3 linked regions of the Caenorhabditis elegans genome follow. The protein of the gene in region 1 interacts with the protein of each later gene in a pairwise test. Each region holds a gene or a part of one and is shown on either strand. Other genes may lie near its edges. The genes, in order: ufd-1, evl-18 and npl-4.2.

Region 1 (3,777 bases):
GTAGGCAATTATGGTATTTTATGTTTGTATCCCAACTCGTATAATTTGTTTCTCCGTTCTCTCGATTTGCTTCAGCTATCCTACTTTCTTTTTTTTTGTATTTTATTCGATTCTTTCGCCGTATCAATAAATTAGTATTTATTTTAATGATTTTTTGGTGTTGTAGATGTAATTTTTGTATTGAGACTTGACTTTTTCCTGCAGAATCTTGACTATTTTCGAGTGATCTTTTGTGAAGCTATCGACTATTTGGACCTTTTTCTGCAAAAAATAGAGTTGGCTTTCAAAACAGCATTTTCTCCAGGTTTTTTCATTCATAGAAGTTTGGATAAGAAACCACTCCACCCATCACTGACATCGCTGAAGGTTCATCAGCTTCATGGCCGAGCTCCTTGAATATTGAATTTTTCGATTCAACAAAAAAATTTCAATTGAAAAAGTCCATTTGTGTGTTTTCGGAAGCACAGACGCTAGCCAGAATTTATGATCTAAACAAGTTCTGCAATTTTTTAAACCTTACAAGGCATTTTTGTAACAAGTGAATAGTTCTATAATATTAGTTATTTCATTTTTTTCTCCGGAGATCTCCTTCAATTTCATCTCTGAATCACACTTATCAAAGAATAATATATTCAAATAAATTTATCCTGTACAAAAAAGTGGCGATGAACTTTTACAAGGTTATGTGAAGTGAAAGATGTTATTCATAGCACAATTGGCCAGATTCGAGACATTAACGGGCTCCTCTCAGTGTTCGATTGCCTCCACGGAAGACATTTGACGGTTGTCCTGCCTTGCTGGCTTCTTTCTCTCGGAGCTCTTTTTCGAGAACATCAACACGTTTATAATCATAACGAAGGAATGAAACACGACCTGAAAATCATAAAATTTAACTTTTCAATTATTTTGAAATGTTTATTTCAGATGAAACAAGTATTACCTGGTTTGTAGTCTTCATTGACAACCACTGGTGGAATAGCTGGCAAATCATTCGCCACTGGAGCTGCATTACTCGTACTAACACCGGTTCCATCTGAGAGTGATACTGAAGATGATGGCTTCTTCTTTCCATCGAGACGACGCCCAGCTCCTCCGAATACAGAAGTTGCATTTTGTCCTGTCCCTCCACTACCACCAGCTTTTTGTCCAGCTCCAATAAATGCGGATGCATCTGGCGCAGGCGGCTTGGCAGTGACAGCAGGAGTCACCTGTCTCGGTTGTTCAACGTAGCCTTCTGGAGGATCGAAATCGAGATTAACATCACATTCAATGATGCACACAGAGTTGGCCGGTTTCAAATCAACGACGAGGAATTCGAGAGTTTGTCCAGCATATGATGTTGGGATCCGATCGTTTTTGGTGAGGCATGCATATTTTCGAAGTTCCACTTCAAGAACAGCTCTGAAAAATAGAAAAATATAGGACTTTGTTCAAAAACTTCAAAAAATTATTAGAGTTTATGAAAACTCACTTTGGATTAGTAATATTCAGAAACTCGAGTGACATCGGCTTCAATTTAGCAAACGTGGCTTTCGGAAGAGTTGCAGACTCAATGCGAATGGTATCTCCATCGTCAAGTCCCAATTGCTGCATCATCCAAAGTGGCAGAATGGCTTGTCCTTCTGGAGCAGAAAATTCAAGAACACCGCAATGAGTTACACGTTGAACAGCCATATTGGTTAGCTGTAAATTTTAATGGTTTTCTAGTTACTTCAAGCTATACAAAACAAACCTTGAAAAGCATTGGCATCGGAATATTATATTGCATGAGCAAGTTGAGAGCAGATGACGGCAGAAGAATCTTTCCACCATAATTGATTTCGCTTATTTTTGACTGTGTTGCATTGGGAAGGAATACGGGCCCATATACCTGAAATTTAATTGTTTATTAACGCTGAAATATAATCTTTGAAATCCAATTTATTATTTACAATGAGATCGAAATGACGAGTAGTTCGGCGAAGTTGTTGTTGAAAAAAGTTTGCAAACATCTTTCGAAATGAATTTTAAAAGCTCACCACAAAAGTTTGATCATAATTCCCGACTCGGCCGCCCATCTGCATCCCGTGAAGTCCTTGTTGTATCCACGCTTGCATTTTTATTTTTGGTTTTCTGAAAAGTTATTAACGTTTTCTTCAACTATAATTCAAAAAATACAAAGAGGATGAGCCAACCAAGAAAAGAGAGCTCATTGATCATTTAAATATTTAACAAACTGCAATTTATTATAGAAAGAAATTACTAAAATGCACGTGTGAAGGAAACTTGACAAAAATTGAAGAAAAACACAATGAACAACATGAAAAAGAGAATGCGTGAATGGATGATGATATTAAAACCGATTCCTGCAACGACAAACGCGCTCCGTTGAACAAAAAAGAAATGGAACAACGAGAAAACCGAATGTCGTGTACAGATTTTTGTGTGGAAACGCGCAAAGATGTAGAGGGAAGAATTTAACCGTCACAAACAACGCGAAAAAACACTAGAAAGAACAGGGTATAAATGAATTATCGAGCTGAATGCCAGAAATCATGAAGAGAAGTCAATAAAATGAAGAACGGAAAAAAAGGACGACAAAAAATGAAATAGCATATAAAATTTCAACAACAAATGGAAACAAAATGTATAGAAGGATGGATATGATGATGGGAAAGAAAGAACATTATGAATAATTATAATTATAATAATAAAGTTAGTGAAAAGGAACAAGAAAGTAGGAATTCATCAGATGAAATGGAAGGAAAACAGAAACTTTGATAAATTATGAAGAAAATTGATCATTTTTGTGATAACAGATGATCACATATCGAATGGCTCGTCCATGTCTTGTTCGAGCCCGGTTCCGTAATATCGATCACCAAAATTGCCCATTCCGGGAATCAGATAGCAATTTTCCGTCATTTGGTGGTCCATTGCGGTGGTGATTAATTTAACCTGAAAATTAATAATTTTTAATTCAAATAAAAAATTGTAAACCTTCGGGAAGGCATAAGCCAGTGCATGTGCACCTTGTTGACCCATAAGCAGAGATGCAACAAATATGTCTTCCTCTTTAACATCATGATCAAGAAGTACACGAATTGCCATCATCGCAGCACTCCCAGTAGTTACGGTGGCGTCCATAATGATAACTTTGTATCGAGTTATGTGTGGTGGCAAACGTATATAATGAAGTTCTGGATCAAACGTCGTCTCGTTGGTTTGAATCAAAATTTTTCCGATCACGCAGTCCTTGACGATTGAGCGAAGAGCAGTCTCCATACATTCGCCGGCTCGCATGATTGGAAGACCACAAATCTGAGCGTCCTTTCGTTTGCCAATAGTTCTGAAATAAAAATTAAAGTTTCTAGATGGTTGAGCCTATTTTAGACGTTTTCAATTGTTTAGTTTTCAAGTTTTATTTAGAAAAAGTTTATTCTTATATTGGAAACAATAGAACATTAATATCCGAATATCCGAAACCAAGATCTGAAACTTTGCAATTCTTAAGCCGAAAATACGGTAGCCGGTCTCGATTCGACAGATTTTTTGCTGAAAGAGCGCCTTTAAAGATTACTGTAATTTTAAATTACTGCAGAATTTTTATTGATTCTTTGTAGTTTTTCTATAAAAATTATTTCTGTATTAAAAAACTTGATTGAAACCATAAACAAAACTTAAAATAAAACAAAAAATCCGCAGTGATAAGAAATTGAAACTACAGTACTATTTCAAGGCGCACACTTTTGTTTAACAAACATTTGTCGTGTCGAGACCGGGTACCGTATTTTTGCA
Region 2 (7,926 bases), on another chromosome or scaffold:
TCTCACGACAATCGTCTGAGCCCATTCTTTCGAATGTTCCAGATGAATAAGTGTCTGTATAACTTGAAAATGCTCTGAATCGTAAGAAATCAGCGCGACAATATTATCCGAAATCATATAAAATTCAATAATTCGAGCGAGAAGAAGCGGATCAATATCGTCGTCAAGTTGGAACGTTTTTGTGTTTCCGGATGCCACGTGGTATTTGCAGATAGACTTTTCAGTTGCTGTAGTGATGACTTCTGGAGCTTGTTCCGGAGCTTCAACTATGCTCAATACGATGCGAACTTTAAGACCATAAAGAACACTTCCATCACGATTTACAGCAAGATATTGAGCTCCATCAAGACCATTCGGTGTTGAACTCACAAAATATGATTGCTAGAAAATCCTCAATTAATCAGGAAAATCGGCCAACTCGAACATACCTTATGCGTAGACATTTTCGAGTAGAAAAATGATAAGTGCGTAAATTTGAGACTAGATAAAATATAAAATAAATTAGTTTGAAGAAGTTGGAAGTTGATTTAATCAATCATCAGAAAAAAATCATCATCAGAAAAAAAATTACAATATGTTCACGTGAAAACTGATCAAAATAAAGTGAATATGTGACAATGAAATGAGAAGTGGAGAAGTAAATAGGGGAAATAATTTCAGAAATTGATAATAAAAATTAAACTCGGAAAGTCAGTGTGCCCGTGTATGAGAAAGATTGAACATTATAACAGTAGGAGGCAATTCTACAAAATAGCCTAATGCACCATGTTTTTCATTAAAAATTAGTGTCAAAATATAGAAAATCACTTGATTTATCACAGAAAACGCAGGAAAATCGCCTAAAAATGGCAGTTTCCAAGCCATTTTCAGCTATTTTCCGATAAATTAAGTAATGCTCTATATTTTAAGACTTTTTTTTTCATTAAAAGCATTGGAACAAGATGGTGCAATAGGTAGAAACGCCTGTAAGAGATCAGTTGGATGTGCCCTCAAAGACAGTCTGCAGAAAATCAATAAAACGAGTACGATCTTCAGATTTCAAGCGAATAATATCAGAATTAAAGTAGTCATCAACGATACGAAGTGGTGGAGTCATTTTCTTTACTCGTTCGAAAGCACGACCAATACACCTGAAAATAATCAATTTTAAAGTTAAAATTACAGGCCGAATATTACGTTTTAAGTAGTGAATCCTCATAAATTGTGGCAATCGGCATAACTCCAGTGACTACAAGCCATCCAGCACTCTCTCCAGTCAATGGGAACATTGCGATTAGCGGCTTTGTTGTACGTCCTTTCTTCATTGAGGCAAAGGCGCGAATCATGAATCCGGCGGTGTTGTAGAGAAAATGACGTGAGTCGACCATATCCTCGTCTGGAAATATATTTTTTAGACTATAAAAGTACTAAATTTTCTCACTAGTTTTCAATTTTTTCCCATCAACATCAACAAAATTTGATTTAAAAATTTAATGTTTTATTAATTTTCAAAATTTCTGATTTTCTCTGAAAACCCCAACCAAGACCCCAGACCAAAAGAGCAGATGTCCAAAAAGATTTTTACACGCGAAAAATTAATCTGTTCAAAAGAAATTATTTAAAAAATTCAAAACAAATGACGCGAGAAACGTGAAGCCTGATTTTTTTATTTCCCACTCTCCTTCAACTTTTTGAAACAAAATCAGTTCTCGTTAGTTCTAGTTATCGAAACTTGTGAAGAAGGTCTGCAATGGCTGCCGCAAAGAAATTGATGCCAAAGCGAATGAAGAAGAAGATGCAGGTGGAGAGAATGGCTCATGCCAGAGCTTGCAAGGTTGCAAAGGTAAGCATTTTGTTATTTGGAAACATTAGCTTCTCGGGGAATTCAGAATTTAATCAAAAAAATTGCGGGAATTCGAATTTGAGTTTTTTTCAAAAACCGCTTTGAGGATTTCTGAATTCAAAATTTCAACTAATTTTCCCATCAAAAATAAATTACAGAGAGAGGCTCGCGTCGCTGAGGAAGCATCTGGAAAATCAACTGGTGGATCTACTCGCGGAGCCAAGTGATAGCCGAGCCACAACACATGACCCCATCGAACTTCATCTTCTGATTATGCTAATAAAATGCTTAAAAATCGAGTTTTTATTTTCTCCGATTTGACTTTTTCCAAATGATTCTAAAATCCGTACCAATGGACCGTGAGCACGAGAATAGATAATACGGCCCATTTGGAATAATCTCCGATTGATTAATAGCCGCCGCGACGGTTTTCCACGACACTTGAAGCGTTCGTTGGCAGATCGAAGTGAACGTGTTGTTGAGATTCAGGCGATCTTGTCGTTCTCCAGTTATTGATGATCTGAGGATTGATTGACCGGATCGGAAACGATTCATTATCTGGAATAATATATTTTTATTTTTTGGCATTTCAGAATATTAGAAAAAATATTTGATTTATCTGAAAATACCTTTTATTTCAGTTGGAACAATTGGAGAAATGCTCAAATAATTGTCTAAAAGCTGGTAGATTTTGTTCCGAGAGTTCTCAACTTCCAGATAATTTTTCAGCACTTTTAATTGTTTAAAGAGTGCAAAAAGTTATCTGAAAGTTGAAAATTGCTCGAAAAAATCAGAGAATTATTGAGAACTTTTTCAGTTGTTCCAAGTAAATTAATAGTTATTTTCAGATAAACTAAATATTTTTCTATACTTTATCACTGAATTTTAATTTAAAATATTGGAAGAGAATGGCTAAAAATATAAATTTTTACAAAAAAAAACCCTTACAGTTTCACTTTTCGGCATTTCCAATCGTAAAGTGACAGCTCTTGCAACATCACATGCACTCAACTTCCCACAATATCCAAGAGTTCCAAAAAATGTTGCAAACGATGAATCCATTTCTTTTTCCAGAACATCAACCACCAAATTCCGTTGCTCCGTTGGAAGAGCTTCGAATTTTTGTTTTGTTTCGTGAAGAGTGATTCCAAGTTGAGCAAGTAAATGTCGAATATTCACATCTCCTTTTTGTGTCCAATTTTTTGTTTTAATCGAGAAATACTCGCTGACCATCATTGCACTGAACAAATCCCAATGTGAATATAGAGCAAGTGGTAGTTCTCGGCCAAATGTAATATGCAAGAGATCATCCACTTTTCCTTGATTCACTATATTTTTTGGCATAAATCGATGGACAAACGGACGCATTCGATCTACACAGATTTGGGTGTACATTTCAATTGAGATCTGAAAAAAAGTTGTATAAAATACTGTTTTATGGCTTTTTAAATTGTGTAATAGTGCAATTTTAGCGATAATTGGTAATTTGCCAATTTTTTTACTGAAAATTGTTCAAAATCTGTAGATTTTTGGGGTGTTTTAACATAATTATTAATCAATTTGAAATGCTATAGGTCTCGAAACAACACCTTTGTGTGGAATATAAAAATGTCTGCGTCTTTAAAGTTTACTGTAGCTTTCAATTTTCGTTGTCGCGGAATTTTCATCGATTATCTATAGTTTTTTTTGATAAAAAATGTATTCAATTTTTTTTTTCATTCAAAAATTTGTCAAAAACGATGAAATTTCGCAACAACGAGAATTTAAAGCTACAGTACTCTTTAAAGGCGCACATCTTTCAGCAGTTGTCAATACCTCGGGCGCCGTATTTTTGGCGCAAAAATCGCAAAATTTTGTGTCTGGATTATATTATTTTTGAAAAAACCCAAAAATACCATTTTTTGCCCTAAAAACTTGGTCTCTACACGATTTTTTTGGATTTTGAAAGAGTATGCGCCTTTAAGAACTACTGTACCATCGTATTTTCCTGAAATTAAAGATCGATCCGATAAATTGCATCATTTTTTGAGCCAAAAATCGATGTTTTTCTTTCGTCATAAAATTTTTTTTCGATATTTTTCAGAGGAAACCGAAATTTTTGATTCGCTCAAAGCCTTCACACCTAAAACTTACCAATTTATCAGCCATCGCACTATTCAACCCGACCGCAGTAAACCACATAGTTTCAGCAGATACTCTGTTCATTTCTGCGGCCATCTCGAGTAAAGTCACACAGCTCGGCGAGCTGAACCACGTCGATTCGTAGTATCTCCAGAGAATTGTCCTCCTCTGCCTTTCCCATATTTGCATTTCTTCCCTCTTAATCGCTTTCCGTCGAATCTTTTCCATTCGTTGTTCATATGAGATGTACTCTTGATCTTCATCTTCATCTGAATCTTCTTCATCGTCAGAATCCTCTCGAATCACAGATTCAAGATCAGGAATTTGCAATTCGCTCATTTCACTTGGATTTGCCAATAAATGAATTTGACCATTTTCATAGACATTCTCAATGTGAAATGGTCGATGAGAATCAATGACAAATGCTATTGAAGCCGGCGGGATTTGTAGTCGTGTCAGGGATCGTGTTGCTCCGCAATTGATTAGGATATAATGACATTCTGTAATAAAAATGTAATAAAAAATGTTTTTTTATCAATTTATTAAAGGAAACAGCGGAAATCTTGCTCCGAAATTCCGAAAATTGTGATAAAACTTCTTAGAAATTGATATGGCGGTATAGAGTTCCGCCGGATCTCGACAGACAAATATTTGCTAATTGCGAAAAAGTGTGCGCCTTTAAAGAGTACTGTAGGTTCAAACTTTCGTTGATGAGCAATTTTATCGATTTTTCATAGTTTTCTCGTTAAAAATATGTGTTTATTTTAAAAAAAACACTATATATTAAAAAATAAAATCACATAAATCTAACACATCGATATGAATTGCGCAAAAACGGGAGCTCAAAATTACAGTACTATCTTTCGTATCGAGACCGGATACTGTATTTTTACTCCAATTTTGCCACTTTTCCGTGTGGTAACGGTGACGGAATTATTTTTTAATTAAAAATTGGGGATATTTCGACTCTCTCACATACTTTGCTCTTGTGAATCTGCAAAAATCTTCTCCACCGAGCTCCATCCTTCCACTGCAAGAATCGAGAATGGGATGTCATCACAGCGTAGCAGATGCTGAAATTTGAATAATTGTTCTATCTAATGCTCTCACAGCAACCGCGCTCTCTCGTACGCTTCTCTTTCTCTGCACCCTCCCCCTCTTATTGTCTCCATCGACTATTTTTCTCAATATTATGTGAATAAAATTGAGTTCATTTATGAATATGCGACTTTTATCGGGTCAAAAAGCGATCTGTGTCTTCCTTGACCTTCTTGCCACCACGATTTGTTTGGCTCTGTTTTTGGTGAGCAGAAATGAAAGATAAATTGAAATATTTTCAATAAACCGGAGACAATAATTCCAGGATAATTCAAGTGGCGACAAACAGTACATTTTCCTTTGTCTTATAGTTTTTGCCACAGACGCTGCGTGCTTCGGAGTGCTCTTTTACAACATTTACTCCGAATTACGCACAAATGGACAGCAAAACCTCGGAATCCGCGCTTTCTGGAACTTTTTGTATCCATTCAATAATGTTTACACAGGACAGTTCGGTTAGTACGAAAATAAATATATTTTTTGAATAAAAAAAATCGATTTTCAGTATGCATCACTTGCAAAGTGGTTTTCGAGGTTCTCATCGCAATTCGGCTGACATTTGCACTTTCAATTCCATATATTGTCTATTTCATCCCATTTTGGATCTTTTGTGGAATAATTTTTGTCGATCTCACGCGGAGACTTTACTCCGTTCAAAAGAAAATAAATAATCATTGATTTATAAATAAATTGCATTATTACCGTCAAAATCATCGTCGTGCATAATGCATCCGTGTCGACTGAAACGATTAGAACCACACTCTGAAGCAGAAATAACGTGAAAATGGAGTAAAAATGACTTTAAACTCACTTTATCGCCTTTCTTGATTTTATTGTAGAATTCCTGCCGAAAGTTGTCTTCGATGATCATCTGAAATTTATAATATTGATTTAAAATTATTTTTTATTAATTTCAAAAAGATAATAAGCAAAAAATCTCGAGAAAATCACCAGAAAAGTGTGAAAAAAGATGCGTTCGTTTCAAATTAATGGCTTCGCGCGTTGAGAGTGCGGCAGGGCGCAATTGCATTTCTCGATTTCTCGCAAAAACTGAATTGAAAACCGAAAAATCTACAGAAATAAATCTAAAAGTGGGCAATTCAATTGAAAATAATAATGTGCTGTTGCTGAATGACAGAATGGTGGTATGTTACGTCATCTGGAGTGTTTGGAGAAGACGTCATCGCGCACGCGGTGAACGGGGAGGAGGATTGAGTAGATTTGGTCAGAAATGTAAATATTATACAATATTTACAAATTTTTGTATTTCAATTTCAAACTCATAGAAAATAATATGAATAAATACACATCAGGATTTTATGAACACAGACACGCGTAGGTTACATTCAAGGCGAGGAGGTTTTTCTTTCGTAAGTTAAATATCTACGTTTATTGAGTTTTTTCAGTTACTGTATTTAACTTTTTGTTTTTTTCTCTCAAATACCCTCCGGGGGAAGGAGTCCTCCTTATTTTCTTTGATTATTCACAAAATTCAGCTAATTCAGTTGAAAAAGCGAAATTAGTTTAAAGGAGCACGCATTTTCTGGAGTTGTGGGTCTCGCAACGAAAATGTTTTGTTTTGTTTTAGGCGAAATTCAAATATTTAATTTCTGTCGTTTTCAATAATTTAAACAATTTTTGGTCGGAAAATTCCGGTTTCAAATGCATTTAATTGAATTCCTGGCATGTTTCTTTGTTCCCTGCAGCCGCTCGTATCTAGACCACGTGTTACTGGGAAAAGCCATGTGACGCACCGGCGGCGCGTCACTTGGCTTCACACCGCCCATCCACTCCCGTAAAAAGCGGGTATAAAAACCGAGTAGAAGAGAGAGAAAGCTCAGTTTATTTTGGAAGGACGAACGAACTCTTCCTTCCGCTCATACCACGTATCTATTCGTTTTTCTTCCTTTTTGCCACGATTTATTGGCAAATCGGGGACGCTCGTTGATTTTTCTCGCACATTTTTTCTATATTCATAAAATCAAAAGGGTGCTGTAACACTTTCAAATTGCAAATGTCGAGGCAACACTATTTGTTTTGAGTGTATTCCTACAATATTGTACACAATGAGAATATTTTACACAAAACACGGACGCCACCATTGAATATTCATACATGCGCTCTACTCTGGCCATTTTTGTAATCTACTATAACATTTTTAATTTTTAAAGGAAGCTACAAATTCGTCGATTTTTACCTTATTAAAAAGTCTAGGATATAAGAGAAAAACAACTTAATTTTATGAAACCTGCCATATAAATTCGAATTAATAAAATGTTTAACGTGACCTTAACCTCGCTCCCCAGCTCGTGGCACATATTTATGGATATGCCACGTGTACAATAGGGTCCTCTCGAATATTTTCAGTTGCACAATTCTCCGTCTTAATTTTCTTTTTTCCTTATATGCTCTCAACACAATTCTAATTTTCAGCTCAATCAATTGACGGCGGCATATGGAACCTTATATTAAGGCATTAATGTGAGTAATGCGAATATTTCATCAACAAAAATAGCTTTTTTGCAGAACCGATAGTTATGAACAGAATAAAAACTTCTTCAGATGTCGGTTCATGAAAAATCGGAGGGGCGATGAGTGTAACTTCGTCGGCACATTTTCCGACACTCTGACCCATTTTTCGATACACACGTAAGTTTTGGCGCCGAAAAATGTTTGCAATTTTTGAGATATTGGTTTTCAAAGACTCTTACTTCCTTGAAAACAAAAAAAATTAATTAAGGCTTAACATTAGTATTTATTTTAGGAAAGTGTACTTGTTCGAATGCGAGGGATGCACAAAACAAGTGGTCGACTTCATGGACCTTGTGGAACACAGATCGCCTTCCACCGGCGCAATATGTAGAGGAACAGTCGAGAATATGCGG
Region 3 (4,520 bases), on another chromosome or scaffold:
AAAGAGGAATTCGTCTTATGAATAAACTGAGAAGATCGATGATGCTGTTTTCAAAAGGGGAATTAAGCACTTCTACAAAAAGAAAAACGCGATAAATTGTCTCCTCAGTTTACCGGATCTTACACAATCAAGAAGATGAATGAACTTAGTAGTCTTAGTATGGAAGTTCCTAATTGAATAACGAGAAGCGGGAAAACTACAGTTTCAACTTTTCACAAAAGTCTATACAAAATGTTCATCACCTAGATTAGGTTTCGGTGAGTCTAAACTATAGTAGCAAATTATATGACTACACTATAGTTACAGATTATCTTAGCTTAGGGTTTTTTTATTATTTCTTCTTTCTTCTTTCTTCTTCAATTCATCACAATCTTCTTTCTTCTTTTCATCGCCTGCAAGAGGGAAAAAGATTTGAAATACTCACCATCTTCGATTCCACGGGTCCAACTCCGATTCGATAATTTGCGATATTTAATACTGGTATTCCACCAGTTGTGAATAATTAAAAAAACGATGATATAATAAAAAATAAAGTGTTATTTTTTTTCACCAGATGCAACAAAGTTATTTTTTCCAAATTCTCCTAAAGCTTTGCTTTTGTTTTAGAATTAATTCTTAATTTGTCTTCATGAAAAATATGGAGAAAAGAATTCATTTGTGGGTGACTTTACAGAGCATACCAGTAGAAATACACTAGTAGAAAAGCGGGAAAATGAATAGAAATTTACAGAAACCGAGTAGAATAATAACATTCAATAAATATACTTTTTGAGATGATAATTTTTAATCGGCAGCTGGCAATCCACACATCGAGCAATCCTGTCTTCCTGCTTCGTTTTGGAATGTACAGTGTCCACAGCTCCAAACGGCTCCTCTTGATCCACCACTGCTTGATCCGGAGAAAGGATCACCATTTGGAATGACAGGAATATCTGAAACTATGAGAAATTGATATAAAAAATTCTTCGTGAAAGCGGAGAAGCAAAAACACACTAAAATAATAGCTTACCGTCATTGCCGCTTCCTCCATTAGCATGCGCTAAAGCCATCAACTGATGCCAATCTTCACATTCCTGAGCCCATTCCATTGCAGTTCCTCTGTCCTGAGCTTTAACTGCATCACACAATCGTTTCATCCATTCATCAGAAATCTGCACTTGGTCATTGGTTACTAAATAGAGCAAAAAGTGGAAGTTTGTAGCCTGTTCCAAAAATTGATTTGTAGAGAATTCGGATGAATATTGAATCAAATTTGCACCTCCTTGAAGTTGTCCAATTGCTTGTCGATTTTCAACATTAAATTTGGCACTCTTCGATTTATTAGATGTGCCAACGTGGAACGTGTAGTGAGGCTCTTTTGGCATTCCAGCAGGAACATCCACCAGCAAATATTCAACTGGAAGTGGTCGTCCGTTTTTCATAACCTCGGCTCCGTATTCATTTTTCATCGAAAATTGAACATCAGTTATATAATGTTCTTCGGATAATGGTGTCTCTCGAACATAAGCCAATTCAGGAGTGTACAGTGTTGGACAGAGAATATCAGCTTCAACCATGGCCGCACATTGATTTGAAACTTGATATCCGTGGAAATTAACATGCATCGATTCATCACCAGATGCAACAACGGTCACAAATTTGGATCCATAGTGACGATCCATCGAGTACTCTGTGATGTTTGGATGTTGATTTTGAAGCATTGCTGCGGTGATGCATTCCTCAGCTGATAGGAAGAAGGAATCCTGAAAAATTATTCGTTTTTTGGGCTTCTCTTCGAGATTGTTCTCACCTTGTGCCGTGTATAATGTACAGTTCCTTCAGCACTATTAGCTGTCCAACAATCTGTGAAGATCCATCCAACACGTTGCAAGCCAAGCATTTCCAGCAAATTGTCAATAGTTTTTTGATTTTTATCCTCCAAAAACTCAATTCCATCTTCACGGCAGTGTTGTGGAGGTTCATAAATTGCAGCCACTGTAGCCTGAAAGTATGAGCAATGAAATAACTCGTCTCAAGAAATGAGTGATGAAGTACTGAACTTACCTTGATTCCTAGTGGAACTTCAAGGTGAGGCTGATACTGTCCAATTAAAAATCCAACACGCTGATGGCCCGATAGTCTCCAATAATCCAAAAACTGATTTACAAGCTCTTGATTTTCAATTTGAATGTTATCAACATGACGAAACTTTTGACGATTCAATGTTACAACCTGTGGTTTGCATTTAGTGCAAATTCCTTTCGGGAACGGCTTGTGAGCATCACAGTTGGGTTTTAATGAACATCGAAAGTTTTCCAGCGGTTTTTTGAGAGTCGTGCCCTTCCCCTGGGATCCAAGGAGCTTGCGAACATGTGCATGGAAGCTCATATGCTTGATATCTTTTTCTTTCAAATATTCTTCATCGAATGGCTGTAAATATTGATATTAGTTTCTATGAAAACAACAGAAAATATCACTTACATCAACAGGCAAACAATTAGTGCACTTTTGACGTACAGGATGCCGACAGTTGGGCCCTTTTGGACGCTGAATTTGACCATCTTGCGTGCTTAAAAAAACATCAACGTCGTTGACACGCTCAGTTTGAGGGACTTCAATTACCATATCTGAAATAAAATAGATTTTTAAATGCAGGAAGATATGCCTTCTAGGTAGTGAATTGAAGATATATAATTTTGAGATTTTGCAAAAATAATGCAGCGGAAAGGGTATCAAATTAGTTTCCATACATATTCAAACATTAAACAGCAAATGAAATAAAACATTTTGTTTTTAGAATAAAAAATGTCATCAAAACTGCCTAGACAACATGAATGACGAGCAAATGCGTACACAAAAAACCGTGCGGCACTCTTGCGAAATCCCATGCAACGCTTGCAATTTTCTTTTTTCCATCACATTTTCCAATTCCTTTCATCAAATTTTACAATTAAAAAAATGTTTTCTCTTAATTTTAGCGTACCTTTTCGAATTTAGTTTGACATTTAAATAATATCAATATAAAAACCTTCTTTCAGTAATGTCTCGACGCGTGGAATTCGATTTATCCACTGAAGATCACTCTGATCGTCGTCGCACCAACACCTTTTCTTGTAAGTTCACAGAATGCTATTTTTCAGAATTGATGAATAAGAGTAAAATGAGTTGAAAAATGTTAAAATTTGAAACAGTTCGAAAAGACTGAAGACTCGGTCCTTTTTTGATTAACCGATTTATTTTAATTCGGCAAACAGACATTTGGAGAATTTGGTCTGAAATAATTTTGCATAAAAACTGCAGATTAACATTCCATGAGCAAAATACATAAAATTCAGAAAAACCAAATTTTCCAAATACTGTTACAGTGAAGAATCAATGCCAATTCTCAGAACTCCCTCATTGTATATGAAAATGACTACTTTTGTCATTTTCAGTGTTTTTCGGTGTCGAATATCCTCAAATCTCAGATTAAATGAATCACAGCTTTATTCATTTGAAAGAAATAATAAATGAAAAGGTGTTCATAAGAGTTCATAAGAAGTTAATCATTTAAAAGCCCGAGAGAGAAGTTGAGTATCAGAGGATCAATGATCGTGCATTGTGAAATCTTTTCAAAAGAAAAATTGATAATCAATCAATAGAGTAATTCTATAAACATATTTATGGTAGTTATTTAGGTGCTTGTTAACAACACAAACTTATCTCATTTCTTAATTTTTAACAGCTTCAGCCGATGAGGATGGAGTTCCAAATGAGGTCGCCGACTACCTGGTCTACTTTTCCCGCATGGTTGACGAACAAAATGTGCCGGAAATTTTGACTCTCTACGATCAAGCTTTTCCAGATCTCACCGAGAGGTAATATTTAATAATCTCAAATTGTTTTCTATTTATCTTTTAATTTCAGATTCTTCCGTGATCGCATGTGGCCCGATGAGAATGTTGTCGAAAGAATTATTGGACCTGGCAACAAGTTGTTCATAATTCTCTACAAGGAACTCTATTATCGCCAGCTGTATGCAAGAAATACTCGTGGACCACTCCTTGTCCATCGCTATGAGTCGTTCATGAACTATCAAGAGTTATTCTCTGAGCTTCTCTCAAGCAAGGATCCAATTCCATTGTCTCTCCCTAACGTGTGGCTTTGGGATATTATCGACGAATTCGTCTATCAATTCCAGGTAATATTTTTTGGTAGAGTTTGTACGTAATATAAATATTCAGGCATTCTGTCTCTACAAGGCTAACCCAGGAAAACGCAATGCTGATGAAGTTGAAGATCTCATCAATATCGAAGAAAATCAGAACGCGTGGAATATCTATCCAGTTCTCAACATTCTCTATTCGCTTCTATCAAAATCCCAAATTGTGGAGCAGCTCAAGGCATTGAAGGTTTGTTTAATTCAATATTATTTTTTTGCTTTCAACTCTACAGTCGTTCCAGGAAAAACGCAATCCGGATTCGGTCGCCGATGAATTCGGTCAATCGGATCTCTACTTCAAGCTTGGATATTTCGCTCTCATCGGACTTCTCCGCACTCA

What was found.
Region 2: the proteins of ufd-1 (region 1) and evl-18 interact in a two-hybrid assay, tested with the Caenorhabditis elegans proteins (one study listed by BioGRID).
Region 3: the proteins of ufd-1 (region 1) and npl-4.2 interact in a two-hybrid assay, tested with the Caenorhabditis elegans proteins (2 studies listed by BioGRID).

Annotation. Positions count from the first base shown.
Region 1 is NC_003282.8:12,328,779-12,332,555, forward strand, and holds ufd-1 (Ubiquitin fusion degradation protein 1 homolog), read right to left. Parts: upstream 2,113-3,777; 5' UTR 2,097-2,112; coding exon 2,019-2,096; intron 1,998-2,018; exon of another isoform or gene 1,992-1,997; coding exon of another isoform or gene 1,932-1,991; intron 1,871-1,931; coding exon 1,733-1,870; intron 1,684-1,732; coding exon 1,472-1,683; intron 1,402-1,471; coding exon 941-1,401; intron 874-940; coding exon 734-873; 3' UTR 630-733; downstream 1-629. Other genes in the region: F19B6.1 (Uridine kinase), read right to left, coding at 2,803-2,937, 2,980-3,328. UniProt on the Caenorhabditis elegans protein: Functions at a post-ubiquitination step in the ubiquitin fusion degradation (UFD) pathway. In association with npl-4.1 and/or npl-4.2 and ATPase cdc-48.1 and/or cdc-48.2, involved in the cytoplasmic elimination of misfolded proteins exported from the ER.
Region 2 is NC_003281.10:3,729,128-3,737,053, forward strand, and holds evl-18 (Cell division control protein 45 homolog), read right to left. Parts: upstream 5,913-7,926; coding exon 5,853-5,912; intron 5,804-5,852; coding exon 5,744-5,803; intron 5,725-5,743; exon of another isoform or gene 5,720-5,724; coding exon of another isoform or gene 5,547-5,719; intron 5,497-5,546; coding exon of another isoform or gene 5,307-5,496; intron 5,247-5,306; coding exon of another isoform or gene 5,166-5,246; exon of another isoform or gene 5,128-5,165; intron 5,017-5,127; coding exon 4,923-5,016; intron 4,444-4,922; coding exon 3,956-4,443; intron 3,230-3,955; coding exon 2,771-3,229; intron 2,381-2,770; coding exon 2,173-2,380; intron 2,122-2,172; exon of another isoform or gene 2,050-2,121; coding exon of another isoform or gene 1,981-2,049; intron 1,823-1,980; coding exon of another isoform or gene 1,730-1,822; exon of another isoform or gene 1,648-1,729; intron 1,376-1,647; coding exon 1,177-1,375; intron 1,131-1,176; coding exon 974-1,130; 3' UTR 513-973; downstream 1-512. Other genes in the region: F34D10.9 (CPSF_A domain-containing protein), read right to left, coding at 1-381, 429-443; F34D10.8 (uncharacterized protein), read left to right, coding at 1,730-1,822, 1,981-2,049; F34D10.3 (Serpentine Receptor, class E (Epsilon)), read left to right, coding at 5,166-5,246, 5,307-5,496, 5,547-5,719; F34D10.4 (C2H2-type domain-containing protein), read left to right, coding at 7,497-7,522, 7,568-7,690, 7,806-7,926.
Region 3 is NC_003280.10:5,620,981-5,625,500, reverse strand, and holds npl-4.2 (Nuclear protein localization protein 4 homolog 2), read right to left. Parts: upstream 2,613-4,520; 5' UTR 2,605-2,612; coding exon 2,461-2,604; intron 2,410-2,460; coding exon 2,044-2,409; intron 1,982-2,043; coding exon 1,790-1,981; intron 1,743-1,789; coding exon 1,010-1,742; intron 939-1,009; coding exon 784-938; 3' UTR 635-783; downstream 1-634. Other genes in the region: eif-3.L (Eukaryotic translation initiation factor 3 subunit L), read left to right, coding at 3,020-3,092, 3,710-3,836, 3,886-4,159, 4,203-4,370, 4,414-4,520.